4 linked regions of the Schizosaccharomyces pombe genome follow. Changing the gene in region 1 together with any one later gene gives a genetic interaction. Each region holds a gene or a part of one and is shown in the gene's direction. Other genes may lie near its edges.

What was found.
Region 2: mutations in mis19 (region 1) and mis18 are lethal when combined (synthetic lethality), as found in Schizosaccharomyces pombe (2 studies listed by BioGRID, with this or other methods).
Region 3: of mis19 (region 1) and upf3, a mutation in one rescues a mutant of the other (synthetic rescue), as found in Schizosaccharomyces pombe (one study listed by BioGRID).
Region 4: mutations in mis19 (region 1) and cnp1 impair growth when combined (synthetic growth defect), as found in Schizosaccharomyces pombe (one study listed by BioGRID).

Annotation. Positions count from the first base shown.
Region 1 is NC_003423.3:1,322,209-1,325,377, forward strand, and holds mis19 (protein Mis19), read left to right. Parts: upstream 1-1,522; coding exon 1,523-1,861; 3' UTR 1,862-2,166; downstream 2,167-3,169. Other genes in the region: ERMES complex subunit Mmm1, read right to left, coding at 1-87, 251-892; C-5 sterol desaturase Erg32, read right to left, coding at 2,267-3,169. UniProt on the Schizosaccharomyces pombe protein: Component of the CENP-A recruiting complex that ensures the integrity of mitotic spindles through maintenance of kinetochore factors mis6/CENP-I and cnp1/CENP-A.
Region 2 is NC_003421.2:512,814-516,474, reverse strand, and holds mis18 (kinetochore protein Mis18), read left to right. Parts: upstream 1-1,667; 5' UTR 1,668-1,704; coding exon 1,705-1,858; exon of another isoform or gene 1,859-1,903; coding exon 1,904-1,964; exon of another isoform or gene 1,965-2,011; coding exon 2,012-2,098; exon of another isoform or gene 2,099-2,146; coding exon 2,147-2,182; exon of another isoform or gene 2,183-2,223; coding exon 2,224-2,308; exon of another isoform or gene 2,309-2,364; intron 2,365-2,382; coding exon 2,383-2,544; downstream 2,545-3,661. Other genes in the region: rad16 (DNA repair endonuclease XPF), read left to right, coding at 1-271, 311-638, 681-806, 852-1,112, 1,153-1,569; dcw1 (mannan endo-1,6-alpha-mannosidase), read left to right, coding at 2,935-3,147, 3,194-3,661. UniProt on the Schizosaccharomyces pombe protein: Component of the CENP-A recruiting complex that ensures the integrity of mitotic spindles through maintenance of kinetochore factors mis6/CENP-I and cnp1/CENP-A. Maintains the deacetylated state of histones specifically in the central core of the centromeres.
Region 3 is NC_003424.3:2,296,899-2,301,185, forward strand, and holds upf3 (protein upf3), read left to right. Parts: upstream 1-2,000; 5' UTR 2,001-2,080; coding exon 2,081-2,235; exon of another isoform or gene 2,236-2,294; coding exon 2,295-2,401; exon of another isoform or gene 2,402-2,451; coding exon 2,452-3,026; 3' UTR 3,027-3,170; downstream 3,171-4,287. Other genes in the region: heat shock protein Ssa1, read right to left, coding at 1-855; protein Mac1, read right to left, coding at 3,624-4,287. UniProt on the Schizosaccharomyces pombe protein: Involved in nonsense-mediated decay of mRNAs containing premature stop codons.
Region 4 is NC_003423.3:3,536,279-3,540,997, forward strand, and holds cnp1 (centromere-specific histone H3 CENP-A), read left to right. Parts: upstream 1-2,225; 5' UTR 2,226-2,322; coding exon 2,323-2,685; 3' UTR 2,686-2,925; coding exon of another isoform or gene 2,926-3,414; 3' UTR 3,415-3,885; downstream 3,886-4,719. Other genes in the region: 3-hydroxyacyl-ACP dehydratase Htd2, read right to left, coding at 1-27; signal peptidase complex subunit Spc1, read left to right, coding at 811-894, 940-1,026, 1,082-1,147; RNase P subunit Rpr2, read right to left, coding at 1,282-1,605; pth3 (peptide release factor), read right to left, coding at 2,926-3,414; adi1 (acireductone dioxygenase family protein), read left to right, coding at 3,944-4,480. UniProt on the Schizosaccharomyces pombe protein: Histone H3-like nucleosomal protein that is specifically found in centromeric nucleosomes. Replaces conventional H3 in the nucleosome core of centromeric chromatin that serves as an assembly site for the inner kinetochore.

The DNA of each region.
Region 1 (3,169 bases):
TAGCGAGATCACGAAATTGGGGTCAAATGACAAGTTCATATATGCAGGCTGGCCTGCACCATTGCTTGGGGAAAAATAAATCATAATCTAGGACAAATGTTAGAAAAGACCGTTATTAAAAGACGAAAAAAAATAGTCTATCGTAGAATACCACTGTGATACGATTTAACACTTGATGTTTCAAACCCCCGGGGGAGGGGTGTAAAGAATCGTAGAGACTATATACTATTAAGGTTGTAAATAGACTTACCTTTCCGACAAATTTACAAATCCTAACTGTAATGGACAATGGTAAGGTTGCAAACGCAGGCTTTGGAAAATTAAGTAAAAGCTTTGTGTCAACGGTGCAATTAATATTGTCAGTCAGAGAAACAAGCATCTCCGCTCGAAGCTGTGAGGAATTATGCTGATGAGGTAGAACCCGACAATGACTGAAAACCGGAAATCCGTCTCCAAGCGATAAATCTCGCACGTAAATATGATCAACCATAGACTTGTCTTGAGCACCTTTGTTGAGAACAGTTTCAAGTTTTCTCAGGGCAACATCGTTGGAACATGCATCATAGCGAAACTGTATGAGAGCTTGTGCTATTAGTACATTAAACCAATCCAATGATTCCGGCTCATGTTCATTAACATCGTAAAGCAGATTGAGTATATGAGGTTCAAGGATAGTAAGAGGCTTTTTGTACCTTTTTTTGTTATTACTTAAAGGAGTTGAAGGAGTCTCGTCAGGTGTTTCATTCCCCGTTTGTTTTGGAGAGTTTGCTACAGACTTTGGAATTGGACTACAAAATAAAAAGAACCGCAAAAACACATAAATAATGGCCAGTGTCAACAATTGTCCAACTATTAGTCCTTGTGTAAAACTCCCCTGCGGCAGGTGTATCATTTTTGTTCATAAATATACTAAAATACCTCGAATTCGCTAATCCCGAGAATCAAAACCGTAAACGGAAAAATTAGTCTTCGCTCTACAAGAAGAGTATAAATTAAACGTCTCAAATACAAGAGTTAACTGCTTAGTAAGTTGAGGCTTTCTGTAATATATATATATATTTTTTTTTTTTCTTTCTTGTAGGTGGTCTACGTAGCATTTGCAATTACAGAGTTCATTGAGCCTATTTGTTTGAGTCCAAAACCGAAATCAACTAATTAAACTAATGGACTTCAATTAAAAAAGATTATTAGTAAATTCATTAAATAACATGATTTGTTTGAGAAAAGCAACTAATTATATCAAATTATTGACTTTAGATATATAAATCCTTTATGATAATATATATTACATTATGAAATTATAAGAGAATATTACTTTCTTGTACTCTTCACATGTGTATGGCATGCTCATACTCAAGGGTAGGAAATACACTAGTACGCGTTTTACTCTTCCAAAAGGAGTATTAGTTAAAGTATCTTTAATAAACGACAATAATTAGTTATTCTTTCTTTCGTATATTAACGGACTACCTAATTTTCGAAAGTTTCTCCGTCTGTGATATTTTATTAAAATGTTAAGCAAATGGATTTAATGCCGTTAGAAAAAGCAAGAGCAATTGAGATTGCATTTGATAATGTGTTTCATAATACAAAAATTCCGGACAATTTGCAGCAATTTGACGCCATATTGAAACGACTGGAAAGACGGAGATTTATACCAACGGAAAATCAGAAACCAAGAGTGTACGAAACAGAGCTACTTGTACTGCGATTTCGCGAATTTGGGGTGAAAGACAACCATAATCATCCAATAAATCTTCATTCTCTTCGGTCAAAAAGCTTAATCAGGGCACAAGGTAAAAAACTTGATTTACATAATCGAGTATTTCTAAGAAGAAATGTTAGAGCAGTAAAAATGTGATTAGTACCTTTTATACGATAATTTTGATGCATTAGTAACTTACCCAATGTGAACTTTACTGAACTTTATACACAACTTACTACAGAAAAGACTCAATCACTACATGTTACGCATATTTTTAAAGCGTTAATTTTCTATCAAAAACAAAACTGTAAGCGTTCATAACTTCTTTTCAACCCAAATTCACGTTTACATGAATTAAAGTCATAATTCAGCAATATTTTCCATTTTAGCAAAAAAAATCGATATGAGTAGCTTTAACAACACGGTGAAAAAATACCAAAAATAATAATTCTATATAAATCAAATCAAAAGCGGTTTTATTTCAGCTTCTCTCTCAAAAGACAAGCTAGAACATAAAACAAAAGAGAGGGGAGTGTATCAAATAATAAATCTTAAAGTGAATTAGTTATCCTTCTTGCTGGCATAAGTGCGATCATCTTTACCCTCAACGGTGTATTGAACTGTCTCCATAAAGCGAATGCGCTGCTCTTGCAATTTCTCATTGCGAAGTTCGGCGTCAAATAATTCTTGGTCTGGTTGACGATATGAACTGCAAAGACGATCAAACAAGGTGAAAAACTGACCATAATTGTAATTAAAGTACATATGGTGAGCAGCGTGATGAGCAGCACCATTTACGACAGCGTTGTTAGAAAAGTATTTGCCGTCGTGGATGAGTACGGTCCAATAATTTACTGATCCAAAAAGCAATAAGTAAACATACTTATTTAAGGGAAAGAAAAAGGGAAACATATGATATGGAAGGGATTGACTGTATCCATCAAGATAATGAAAAGCGTGAGAAGAGTAAGGAGTTGGAACAATCCATTTGTGATGAAGCTTATGCAAAGGAGCGTAAAGCCAACGATGATGCAAAGCGCGGTGAATCCAGTAAATCAAAAAATCAGAAAATAGAAGGAAAAGCGCGATGGAAAAGAAAAGATAAAAGTAACCATATTCATCAAGCTTATCATAAACATAACCATATCCACGAATTTCAGCAAGAAACCAAGGAGCTGTCAGAATAGCCATACCGGGTAGATTTTTTAAAGCAACCATCAATTCCAGATGCTCCTGATTTTTTAAAAATTTAGGGTGCCTTCTGGCCTCCTCTCGATCAAAGTACACATAATATGCAAAACTGGCAGACAAAAAGTAAGACAATGTGCCCATAATCCAGGTAATGAGGAACAGGCTGGTGAATTGACGCCACACATTGTTACGATCAAGTAATCCCGACGTGATAGCAAAGTTTACTTTCTCAGCAAGACCCAAGGTGGTAGAATTTACAGCAGTATTAGCAAA
Region 2 (3,661 bases), on another chromosome or scaffold:
TGACTTACGACAATAAAGACTCTTTGAAAAATATGAATAGCAAATTAGTGGACTATTTTCAATGGAGAGAACAATATAGAAAGATGAGTAAATCAATCAAGAAACCAGAGCCTTCCAAGGAGCGAGAGGCTTCTAATACAACGTCTAGAAAAGGTGTTCCACCTTCAAAGAGAAGAAGGGTAAGAGGTGGAAACAATGCCACTTCACGCACAACTTCTGATAATACAGATGCGAATGATTCTTTTAGTAGGGATTTACGCCTAGAGAAAATGTACGCTAATTATTAGGTTTTACACGCTAATAAGTCTAGTCTGCTCTCACACTTATCCAAACGTTATGAACCTGAAGTGGGCAATGATGCATTTGAAGTTATTGATGATTTCAATTCCATCTATATCTATTCCTACAATGGTGAAAGAGATGAGTTAGTATTAAATAATTTAAGACCTCGGTACGTTATTATGTTCGATTCTGATCCCAATTTTATTCGAAGAGTCGAGGTTTACAAAGCTACATATCCCAAAAGATCTCTAAGGGTTTATTTTATGTACTATGGAGGATCGATTGAGGAGCAAAAATATCTTTTTTCTGTAAGGAGAGAGAAAGATTCATTCTCTCGTCTTATTAAAGAACGATCTGTAAGTTATTCTAAACTTTTCAAAACTTGCTAATCTAAAAAGAATATGGCTATCGTACTGACGGCTGATTCCGAAAGGTTCGAAAGCCAAGAGTCAAAGTTTTTAAGAAATGTCAATACTCGTATAGCTGGAGGAGGACAGTTATCGATCACAAATGAGAAACCTAGGGTACGTTCATTATATCTTATGTTTATATGTATTAAAACGTTAAAGGTTATCGTTGACTTGAGGGAATTCCGTAGTTCGTTACCTTCCATATTACATGGAAATAATTTTTCTGTTATCCCTTGCCAACTCTTAGTGGGAGATTATATATTATCACCAAAGATCTGTGTTGAAAGGAAGTCAATTAGAGATTTGATCCAATCATTAAGCAATGGCCGTCTTTATTCCCAATGTGAAGCTATGACTGAATATTATGAAATTCCAGTTTTGTTAATTGAATTCGAACAACACCAATCTTTTACATCTCCAGTAAGTCTGACTAAAACAATCTATGTCTGACAGCTTTTAGCCTTTCTCCGACCTTTCAAGCGAAATTGGAAAAAATGATGTTCAATCTAAACTGGTACTGTTAACATTATCGTTTCCCAACTTAAGGATTGTTTGGTCTTCTAGTGCCTACGTTACATCAATTATTTTTCAAGATTTGAAAGCCATGGAACAAGAACCAGATCCTGCTTCAGCTGCCTCTATAGGTTTGGAAGCTGGGCAAGACTCAACGAATACTTATAATCAAGCTCCACTCGACCTGCTAATGGGACTCCCATACATAACTATGAAAAACTACAGAAATGTGTTTTATGGAGGCGTGAAAGATATTCAAGAAGCTTCCGAAACCTCAGAAAGAAAATGGTCAGAACTAATTGGCCCCGAAGCAGGAAGGCGTCTTTATTCCTTCTTCCGAAAACAGTTAAAGGACTATGAGTAATTTATTTTTTTATAATTTTGTAATATATTTAATTTTTGCTTCTACATCTGATATATATTGGTTCACCATATATAGAATGTTAAGCGCACCTAATTAATAACGACTACTACTAGATAAAATGAACTTTCCATAAGTATGTCCCAGACGGAAACTAGTCATTCGGGCTATATTGATTTTAAAAAAGAGTCACAACCTAGCGTCTTCCAATGTAAAAAATGTTTTCAAATAGTTGGTGATTCTAATGCTTGGGTTATTTCTCATCGAGAATATCTTAGTTTCACTTTGAGTGGTATGTGGTAAAAGAAATGTCCATGTAATTAATTATTTCATTTAGATGCAGTAGAAAATAGTGTACGCGTTGAGGATACGTTTAAAAGGAGTGATGATGGTCTTTGGTATGTTGCATGTGTTGCTCGCCAGTTTACTAATACAAAAATTATAGCGTCTATTCAGAGTTGAGTTGTACTAGATGCAATGAAGTGATTGGGAAGGTGTATAATTCTACACCTATATATCTTGATGATATTAGGTATGTCTAGTCGTACTTGGTTGACCAAATTTTAACAAAATCATGTAGAGATATGTATACTTTTTCAATGGACAAATTACAAGCGTAAGTTCATGATTTCATCTTAGTTACTAACCCCAGTGAAGCTACCAACTAGGTAATAAGACCGTAAATCCTGAAGGCCTTACACGGTATCAAGTTGATTTAGAAATGAGAGAGGACATTATAAAGGCATGTACAGTGATTCTTTATATAGTAGAGAAAAATAAACTTTAAGAAGAATAAATTACTAATTTTATTTGTAGTTGAAGTCCTTTTGTCTCTCTCTATATGAAAAGTTCGAACTTCACGATGAAACTTTACGCTCAGTTAAGGAGACAATATCCAGTTTAAAAAAACCGAAAATTGAGGGAAAGGAAGGTAAAAAAGAAAAGGCAAGAACATACTCTAAACGAACGAGGAAATAAGTCCACCGCTAGAAAGTACTGGGATACCATGTACAAACTGTTATATTCAAACAGTTAAAATTGCGGTTAAAACAAAAAGACACAATTTAAATAATACCTTTTTGATGTATTTTTTCTAAGGTTTTCCTTCTTGCTCATTGTGATATGCATGGGGCTGTCGGTCTCACGAATAAATGTGAGAGTATTTTCATTGAAAGGCTTAAGAATTTTATAGAAGATAGATTGCGTTAAGTTATATTTTTTCCCTACCTTTGGTCGTTCGTTGTTTACTGTTTAGATTATTTCTATCAGTCATTAATGAGTCATCATTGAATCATATGAAGGGCGACAGTCATCTGGATACATATGGGAATCTTCAAAGATACTACTCTATTTAATCCTTCTTTTTCAATGAGTCTTACAATCTTTATTTCACTTGCAACTATTTTGTTTTCCTTCGCTGAAGCCATTTCGGTGGATTTGAATGACACGTCCTCCGTTGACTTAGCCACTTCTTTAGTAGCTGATGGATTATTGAATTATTATGCTGGTCAGCACAAAGGAGGAACTATCGGGATGTTCCTTCCTCCAGCCTACTGGTGGGAAGCCGGGGCTGCTTGGAATGTACGTTGAGCTTAAAAGTATAATTTATTAACAACAATGGCTTTAGGGACTTTTAAATAGATACATTGCCACTGGTAATAGTACATATAACGAGTTGGTAAAGACCAGCATGTTGTACCAATCTGGAGAGGATTCAGATTATATGCCTTCGAATTATACAACATCTGAGGGAAATGACGATCAGGCATTTTGGGGTCTGACCGTTATATCTGCCGCTGAAGCAAACTTTTCAAATCCAGCAGCCGATGAACCACAATGGTTGGAACTGGCTCAAGCTGTATTCAACCAACAGGTCACACGATGGGACACGGATCATTGCAACGGTGGTCTTCGATGGCAGATTACTGAATTTAACTCTGGGTACAACTATAAGAACACTGTCTCAAATGGAGCATTTTTTCAGCTTGCAGCTCGACTGGCTCGATTCACCGATAACGATACTTATGCTGAGTGGGCTAATGTAGCATACGATTGGAGCCAAAGGATTGGGTTTATTCAAGAAGATTACACTGTA
Region 3 (4,287 bases), on another chromosome or scaffold:
CAAAGAATCAATTTCAATGCTGGCTTGAGCAGAAGAAGAAAGAGTACGCTTGGCACGCTCGCAAGCAGTACGTAGTCGACGAACAGCACGAGCGTTGCCAGTGATGTCCTTCTTGTTCTTACGCTTGAATTCTTGGGCAAAGTGGTTCACTAAGCGAGAGTCAAAATCTTCACCACCCAAGTGGGTATCACCAGCGGTGGCTTTAACTTCGAAAATACCCTCTTCAATAGTAAGAAGGGAGACATCAAAAGTACCACCACCAAGGTCGAAAATAAGGACATTGGTTTCATGCTGGTTGCTTCTGTCTAAACCATAAGCAATGGCGGCAGCTGTGGGCTCGTTAATGATACGAAGGACGTTTAGTCCAGCAATCAAACCGGCATCCTTCGTGGCCTGACGTTGGGAGTCATTGAAATAAGCGGGAACAGTAACAACGGCATCGGTGACTTTGCCACCCAAAAAGGCTTCTGCGCTTTCACGCATCTTCAATAAAACCATAGAGGAGATTTCCTCTGGTGTAAAGGTCTTGGTCTCACCCTTGAACTCTACCTGAATCAAAGGCTTACCATCCTTCTCGATGACCTTAAAAGGCCAATGTTTCATATCAGATTGGACTTCGGGATCGTTAAATCTGCGGCCAATCAATCGTTTGGCATCGAAAATAGTGTTGTGAGGATTCATAGCAACTTGATTTTTTGCAGCATCACCGATCAATCGTTCTGTGTCAGTGAATGCAACATAGGAGGGAGTCGTGCGATTTCCCTGGTCATTGGCAATAATTTCCACTCGATTATTCGAGAAATGACCGACGCACGAGTAAGTAGTACCCAAATCAATACCGATAGACTTGCTCATATTTGAAATGTATTAATAGTTCGTAAAGAAAATTCGTATCAATGAAAAACGGGGGAATGAAATTAAATTCGTAAACAAAATAAACGTGAATTAATAAGTATTATAACACAGGTACGATAGATTCGCACAAATGCGCTTTAGAAAATGCTTTTTTTAATTTAAGACGAAATAAACAATCGAAACGACAATTGCTGTTTGAAGAATTGTTGATATCCCTTTCGCCGTCCCCCAACCTCTATTTATGTACCTTTGTCCATTCTCGAACCTTCACCAACCCTAACCCTCGAGATGCTTCGAGAAACGGGGAGAACGAATTCTGACGAAGTCAAGGAATTACGTTACGATACTCAAAAAAAATCGAAACATTTCGAAGTTGCCGAAACATTCGCTTCCAAACCATCACGATCCAGCGAAAACGCTTGAGAATTTGCTGGACGTGTCCTTTTATTAATCCGTACTACCTTGTTAACTATCAATGGGTAAAACCAAGTTTTGATCGTCTCAAACTCGCTAACACCTTTTTTCCTCCACATTATTCGAATGTGGAGTAGAAAACGTCATCACTTGTCGAGCGATGGCTTCCCGCTTACATTAGAGTAAATTCTGTATGCAATTGCCGAATACAGTTACTTTCATTGTGATGACTTAATTAGAGCATACAGATGTTTTTCAAATTTGTCTTTCGATTGCACTAATTGATGGTGAAAAAACCGTTTTCAGAGTATGAGACGATTCTTGCAGCTTCTGCATCATTTGCAAATAAAGTTATAGTGGAATAAACGAGTATAAACGCACGATTACTCGAGCAGACTGAAATATAACGGTATAGCAAAAAAATGCGGTATATGAAATAATGCACAGTTGCGAAAATTTAGGTTACTGAAGCACTCAATAGTGCAATTACCTGTCCCAATAATCAATTCCTTAATTGTATAGTAACGATGAACAAATTGGTCTCGCATTTTGGATAAGAAAACTGGTAGAACATCGTAACGTCATTTAGAAAAAGGCACTACTTCATCTCTTTAAGTTATTTAAACGAGGCTAAATGATTGCAACCTTATCAGTAAATTGCAGATTGCTGTATTGGTCTGGTAAACGAAGGAAAGGTTGTTTAAAATAAGTAGCGCAAAAGTACCCTCCCTACAAAAAGCTTTGGTTATCATCAATCACCAATTTTCTATAATAGGGGAACTACCTTAAGCATTTCATTGCATGTATGTAGATGGCTCCTGATATCTCAAAAAAACGATTACCATGCAAAGTCCTCGTTTTTAATTTACCACCAACTTTGCCTGAACAAGTGTTTCTCCAATCCATCAACTCATTTTTACCACACGTGGAATGGCACCGATTCTCCAAAGGGAAAGCAACTGTTGGGTATTTATTTATTTCTTTAACCTTTCTTGCAAATAGTTACTAATATCGTGCCTTTGTAGTACTCGATCTGAATTGCTATCCTTTGCGTATTTGAAGTTCCAATCCGCCACGGCTGTTCAGGAATTTTTTCGCGTATACCAAGGACATACCTTCATAGATAAGAAGAGTAAGTTGTTACCATTCAAATTTTTCTTTTTTAACTCAAACATGCATTAGACAACACTTATAGGGCAATTGTCACAATTGCTCCATATCAAAAGATTCCTCCTTCTAAAGTAAAGGCAGATAGTTTAGAAGGCTCACTTGAACAAGATCCGAAGTTTCAAGAATTCAAGGTTCAGCGGGAGAGCTATTCGCAAACTGCGTCCAATGACGATGTTATTGAAAAATTACAAACCTCTACTCCATTACTACAATATCTTGCTGAGAAAAAAAATGCCGTTGTAGAAAAAGGAAAATCAAAACCATCTAAGAAATCTGTGAAGGCTAAGAAAAAGCTACGCTTGGCTGAAAAGCCGGCATCTAACAATTCAAAAGCTGGTAAAAGCTCACAAGAATCAAAAAAGTCTTCAAAGGCACCTGCTGAATCTGCAGCTGCTGTAATCAAAGAAGATAAAGTTTCTGATCGCAAAAAATCTAAAAAGAAGCCAAAAAAAACCCCCGTTTCTAATAGCACTGCTTCTCAAGCTTCCGAAAATGCCTCTGATAAAAAAACAAAAGAGAAGAAATCGTCTGGCAAACAAAAGATCGCTTCTAAAAAGAAAGATCAGCTAACAACTGATAATGTTTGAAAAAGTATTTATCCTTCCTTAGTGTGTAAATTAGAAATTCCTCCAGTCCTCATTCTTTATGTTTGCCTTATTGTCAACGATCACGATCAACTTAGCATCTTTAATTATACTTTTTAATCAATTGGTTGTTTTCCAAACTCATAAGATACACTGATGATAGATACATTTTTGCATTACTGTATTCTTTGGCCCGTAAATATAAATGCAACAAAAAATCTTTTAAAACACATACTCTACAAACCATAAAAAAGTACCTGTTTGCGATAGCACTACACAATTCCTACAACTATTTTTAATGTAATACCAATATATCGTCATTGTTCTCATGCTTATTCTGAAAGAATATTAATGAGATGGAAAGATAAGTAAAATGAATAATTGAAACTGTGCATGCAAATTTATAAAAGGAACCAGTCCTTTAATTAATAGGTTCGCCAAAGAGATAGTAAAATTGTAATAAAAGTAAAATGAATGAAATGAAAGAAGATGAGTAAAGAATCAATCTAAGGGAATAAATCGACAGTTTACCGAAACTATCAATTCTCAAATTATACATAAGCTAGCAGAATGAAGACAAAATGTCCAATTGAATAATCATTAACGGATCATCCGATTTCCACCAGGTCCCCGTCTATTATTACGGTTACCACGAACCGGAAGCTCGAAATCAGCGTTGCCTGAAAGCTGATCTAACGTATTTGAAACAGGGGGAACATTAGATAAATTTTGAGGGTCTCTCATCATACTGCGAGGACCATAACCCATGCCGGCATGGGCGGTATTCAGGCTGCCATGTGAGGGATTACGACTACCATTTAACTCAAAAGAAGGTCTTGACATATTTCCATAACTTGGTCTCTTGAATTGGCGAGAGTTGTTTGCTAGTGGAATGCCGTGCATACTGAGATCCAAGGCTGAATTATTTCTGGAGTTAGGAGAAGTTGGCATACCACGGGAATTTCCAGGAATGCCACTTTGACCGAACAAATCAGTTGAAGAATTACTCCTAGATGCGTTTCTAGGACCATTACGTAAATTCATTGGAATTTGCGCATTAAATTCACTTGAAGAATTGTTTCTTGAAGTGTTCCTAGGACCACGCATATTGACTGGCATACCACCATGAGCATGCAAATCATTTGAGGAATTATTTCTAGGTGCACCCCTGTGACCGTTATTCATATTTGGGTGCATCCCGCTCTGTGCATATAAATCTGAAGAGGAATTATTACGAGATGTGTCCCTAGGACCATTTCGTCCA
Region 4 (4,719 bases), 2.2 Mb from region 1:
ATCCTTTAAAACGACCTTTGCTGACATCGATGATTACTTTCTGAAACGCTTTGCACATTGACTTTTCAAGTAGGCAATTTATCAATACTGAAGGTGATCTATTAGAAATTATTATAAATTAGCCGAAGCAATTATCCCTAAGAAGACCTCAACTTTTAAAATCGGAAAGGACAAATCTTTGAAGCAATAAGCTCTTAATTTTATGGAACCTAATAACTTTAACAGCTACACATTACTAATTGCTTTTGGCACGACCCAAATTGCTTAAGGTATACGTGTAATGCTTGTTTTATACCGTTAGTGGAGACTTGACCTCTTTTAGCAATGAAGTACTAGCAAAATTTATGATAATCGCACATCTAATAAAAGATAATTTCACCAAATGAAAAAAAAAACCACCTAAGCAATTAATATACGATTTAAGTCACATACATTTAAATTAAGCCCTTGTTGGTGAATCTTTATTAATTATTAATCGTTTATGAACGCTGAAGTACCTTAACCTGTTAATTGTAAAGATCATTTCTATATAATGTTAATAGGTCATCAATGAGCCGCTTTTTCATTTTCAAATCGAATTTGACATTGAGGTGTTGATTTACATCTATTGAAAATGAAGGAGCAACCGATTTGCCTATATATTTTCATGCCTCTTTTTTTGCTTGTTTTTTGTTTCATATTCATCAATGTACAACGTGCTATTGGATTACAACACGTTATTATGGTAAACCGAACGATAACGAGATTCATTCGTTGTAACCACATAATACAAAAAGCAACTTTACTGTTTTGAGAAAGAGCAAGCATACCATGAACTATCTTGAAGGTACGATCGATTTTGCAGGACAATTAAGGTGTCAAAAGTATATGAACTATGGTCTATGTACAAGTGCTGTATGTCAGGGATAAAATCTCATTTATTTACTAATATATCTATAGGTTATTTCGTACATTTATGGGTATTTAGTTCAAGATTCTTATTGTGTGATTAAATTGTTTTTAATTTTAGCATCGTTGGTGGCTCTTGTAAGCTAGTTTTTTTGCTTCTAGTCATGTAATATTAACATTCATTTAAAAATAGGTGTGTCTTCCTGCTTGGTCTATGTACAACAAAAACCCTTTAAAATTTCAAAAGAAAAAGGAGTAAGCGGGAAATGGGGAATCTTTCTTTACTTGAATCGCAATCTCGCGAAATTAAAGAACCAAAATACCAAACAAAAGTTGCTCCGGCTTTATAGAATACAAATAATCTTTCATTCCAAAAGTAATGCTAAACATGTTTTAACAACTTTTGTCCGAAAACCTTTTTTTAAACGCACATTTTTTGCATATCCACAATACACGATCGATAGATGGATTTTTCCGTGATGGTTCCTCAAATCTTATTGAACATGACTTTCCTGGTACCAATAAAGAGTTACATCCTTTACATATGGTGCGCTTTATATCTGGGTGTATTCGCATTACTGATTTTTGTGAAACATCCTTGGCTGTAGAGATATAGTGTCTCGACAATGTAGGTTCTTGAACGTTTCTAAAAAGTAATTGCGAAGCCTGGTATAAATATGATACCCTTGCATGTTGGTCCTTTGACTTTGTACTCATCTCGACCGTTTATGTTTAAAACACTTGAGCTATTAAAGGAATTGCAAAACAGAGAACAAACAACTTTCCGTTTTTATAATGGAATGCAAAAGTCAAAAAAATTATTTTTAACTTAACAATTTAATTATGTTTCTTATAAAAATCCTTCATTAAATTAATTAATAAATAGTTAATGCTTGTTGCAGTCTGATTTTACCATAGGTCAAATTTTTAATTTGTTTTTCCACGGTAAACTGCGTTATGTAATTCTTTGTAAAAGAGTACGATAAATTTTTAAGGCTTTTGGATCAATTATAACCGAGATATAAAGAGAGCACATATGTTTATTCAATTAAAAAAAAATCGGTCTTGAGTTTCGCTTGGGTTTATATGATTAATTTCTCTTACCTATAAATAGTGAGAAATCATATATTCGTAAGCTATTATTAATACTTGTTCTTTTTAGCTGATGATGTGGAACGAACAAGAGCCTAATATTTTCATGTATTTTAATGATTTTCTTGTAAAACAGTAGCTTTAGTATTTTCTGACAAAGAACTTCTGTTTGATTGTTTACATTTTTAAATAGTGAGCTAAATAATTTAGAGTCTATGCTAGTCGCGACGCGTCAAACCCCTGTCAAAACCAAAACTCATTGTATCGAGCTCTTGCATTTGTTCCAACAATTACTGTTTAAAAACCTTTATTCCCAAAAGAAATTGATAGGAACAACTTAATATGGCAAAGAAATCTTTAATGGCTGAGCCTGGAGATCCTATTCCACGGCCACGTAAAAAGAGATATCGTCCAGGTACTACGGCGTTAAGAGAGATTCGAAAATATCAAAGGTCTACAGACTTATTAATACAAAGGCTCCCGTTTTCAAGAATTGTACGAGAGATATCTTCAGAATTTGTAGCCAATTTTTCAACGGATGTTGGTTTGCGCTGGCAATCTACGGCACTGCAATGTCTTCAGGAAGCGGCTGAAGCGTTCTTGGTTCATCTATTTGAAGATACGAATTTATGTGCTATTCATGCTAAACGAGTGACGATTATGCAACGAGACATGCAATTAGCCAGGAGGATTCGTGGTGCTTGACACTATATATTCAACAAAAAAAAATAGTTTTACGCTTAATCATATTGAAATTGGAATTGCTAAGGTATGATCAGTTTAATTGATATCAGGTGATTTTGAGACAGATCTTTAGCTACTCATTATAAGACTCTAAGCATGCTATCTACCAAAGAATTATTAAAAAAAATGTACGAATATGCTCATAATGAATGATAAATCTCACTCCTAGTTAATGCCATGTGAGTACCGAAGCAACGCAAATTAGATCACGTCTTGTTTCGCTTCATTATTATTCAGGCTGGAATCCTGGTCATCAATCTTATTTCCATACTTCCTTTTACTTTTTTTCTCTCGCTGTTTTTTCTTCTTGACAATACGTTGAACTTTTCTTGCTAAAAGACTATCGTTCCCGTGTTTGAATTCATCTACTTTCTCCGTTAACCGTTTCCTTGCAATACAACGATTTTGTTCACGTGAACGTGTGTCTTGAGATCGAACGATAATTCCCGTCGGAATATGTTTGACTTGGGCCACTATGCTAGTTTTATTTATTTTTTGTCCACCAGGGCCCTTTCCACATATAAATGTTTCCTCAATATCTTCTTCTTGGAGTCTTTCTAGTTGATAAGGTGTTTCTTTTTTAGAGCAATACCATGTATGCCGAAAATTTAGTTCTGCCAGACAAGAAAATGCATTTAGTCTTACTGAAATAAATGTTTTGTTCAAACACTTTCGTGCTGCGCACAGCATCTATGTTCACCTAAACGTGTTACTGCTAATAAATAGACAAACTTGACTAAAATAAACAACCTTGTCCTTTGGAATGATAATAGGCGGTCTGGTTGATTAGCGTGAAACTTGCTTAATACATTAAAAAGTTATAAGGGGATTTTGTATTATTGCTTTTCTCAAAGGTTACTGTTACAAAAAAGAAGAAAACAGAAACTTCTAAATTAGCAGAAAATTCACGATGTTGGAATATCGATGAACAAAATTGCGCACTTATTGCATAAGTTTAAAACTCTTTAATGTAATATTCTATTGTCACACTGCCCCAATAATATTTGTTTGGCATAATGCAATAGATACTGTATTACATTACATGCACAGAAGAATTTTTTTTTTTTTTTTTATTTTCACCTTTACTCTCACTCGAGTAGTGTTTTGCCTGCTTTCCAATTGACACCTCTTCTGTTTAGTCTAAAGTTTTTCGTTCAATAATTTAAAAAAGTCTTAATTTTCTTTAATTTGCTCGTGACTCAACATAAAAATAACATCAATGAGAGCATACATTTTCCAAGACGAAGGCGATCAAAGAAAGCCGAATGACTCAAAGATTGAAGTTTCAGCTGAAGATTTAGAAGCTGCTAAAGTGTCCTATAGACATCATGATGGAGATCTACATACCTTCGCCGATGGCCTTATGAAAGAATATGGATTTAAAAATCGGGATGAAGTTGTTGTTAGTAGAAAAGGACTTGGAGATCGTTATGACAATATGGTAAAGAAGTTCTTTGAAGAACATTTGCACGAAGATGAGGAAATTCGATTAATTCTCGATGGTAATGGTTACTTTGATGTCCGTTCTGTCGATGATAGATGGGTTCGAATTTTTGTTGAGAAAGGCGACTTAATAATACTTCCTCCTGGAATTTATCATCGTTTTACTACGACCACTGATGACTATATACACGCAATGCGCTTGTTTCATGAAAATCCAAAATGGATTGCATTGTCTCGCACAGATTCAACCAGCGAGGAACTGGATGCACGAAAAAGTTATTTGAACAGTATTAAAAAAAGTGTTTATGTTTAATTAGGTATATGCAACAACTGATTTATATCAATAATCTTACGTATGGATTAACACTAGATATTAATAAGAAACTTCCTTTATAAGGGTTTAATGTACAATAAAGATAGTAATAAATATAGTCACTAATCATTTATGATCATATTATTTTAAGTTACTGATTGTATTTGCTTATTGGAATGCAGCTTTCAATACACACAATTCTTTCATCTCGCTACGACACAACAGTCCCTACCTACTCA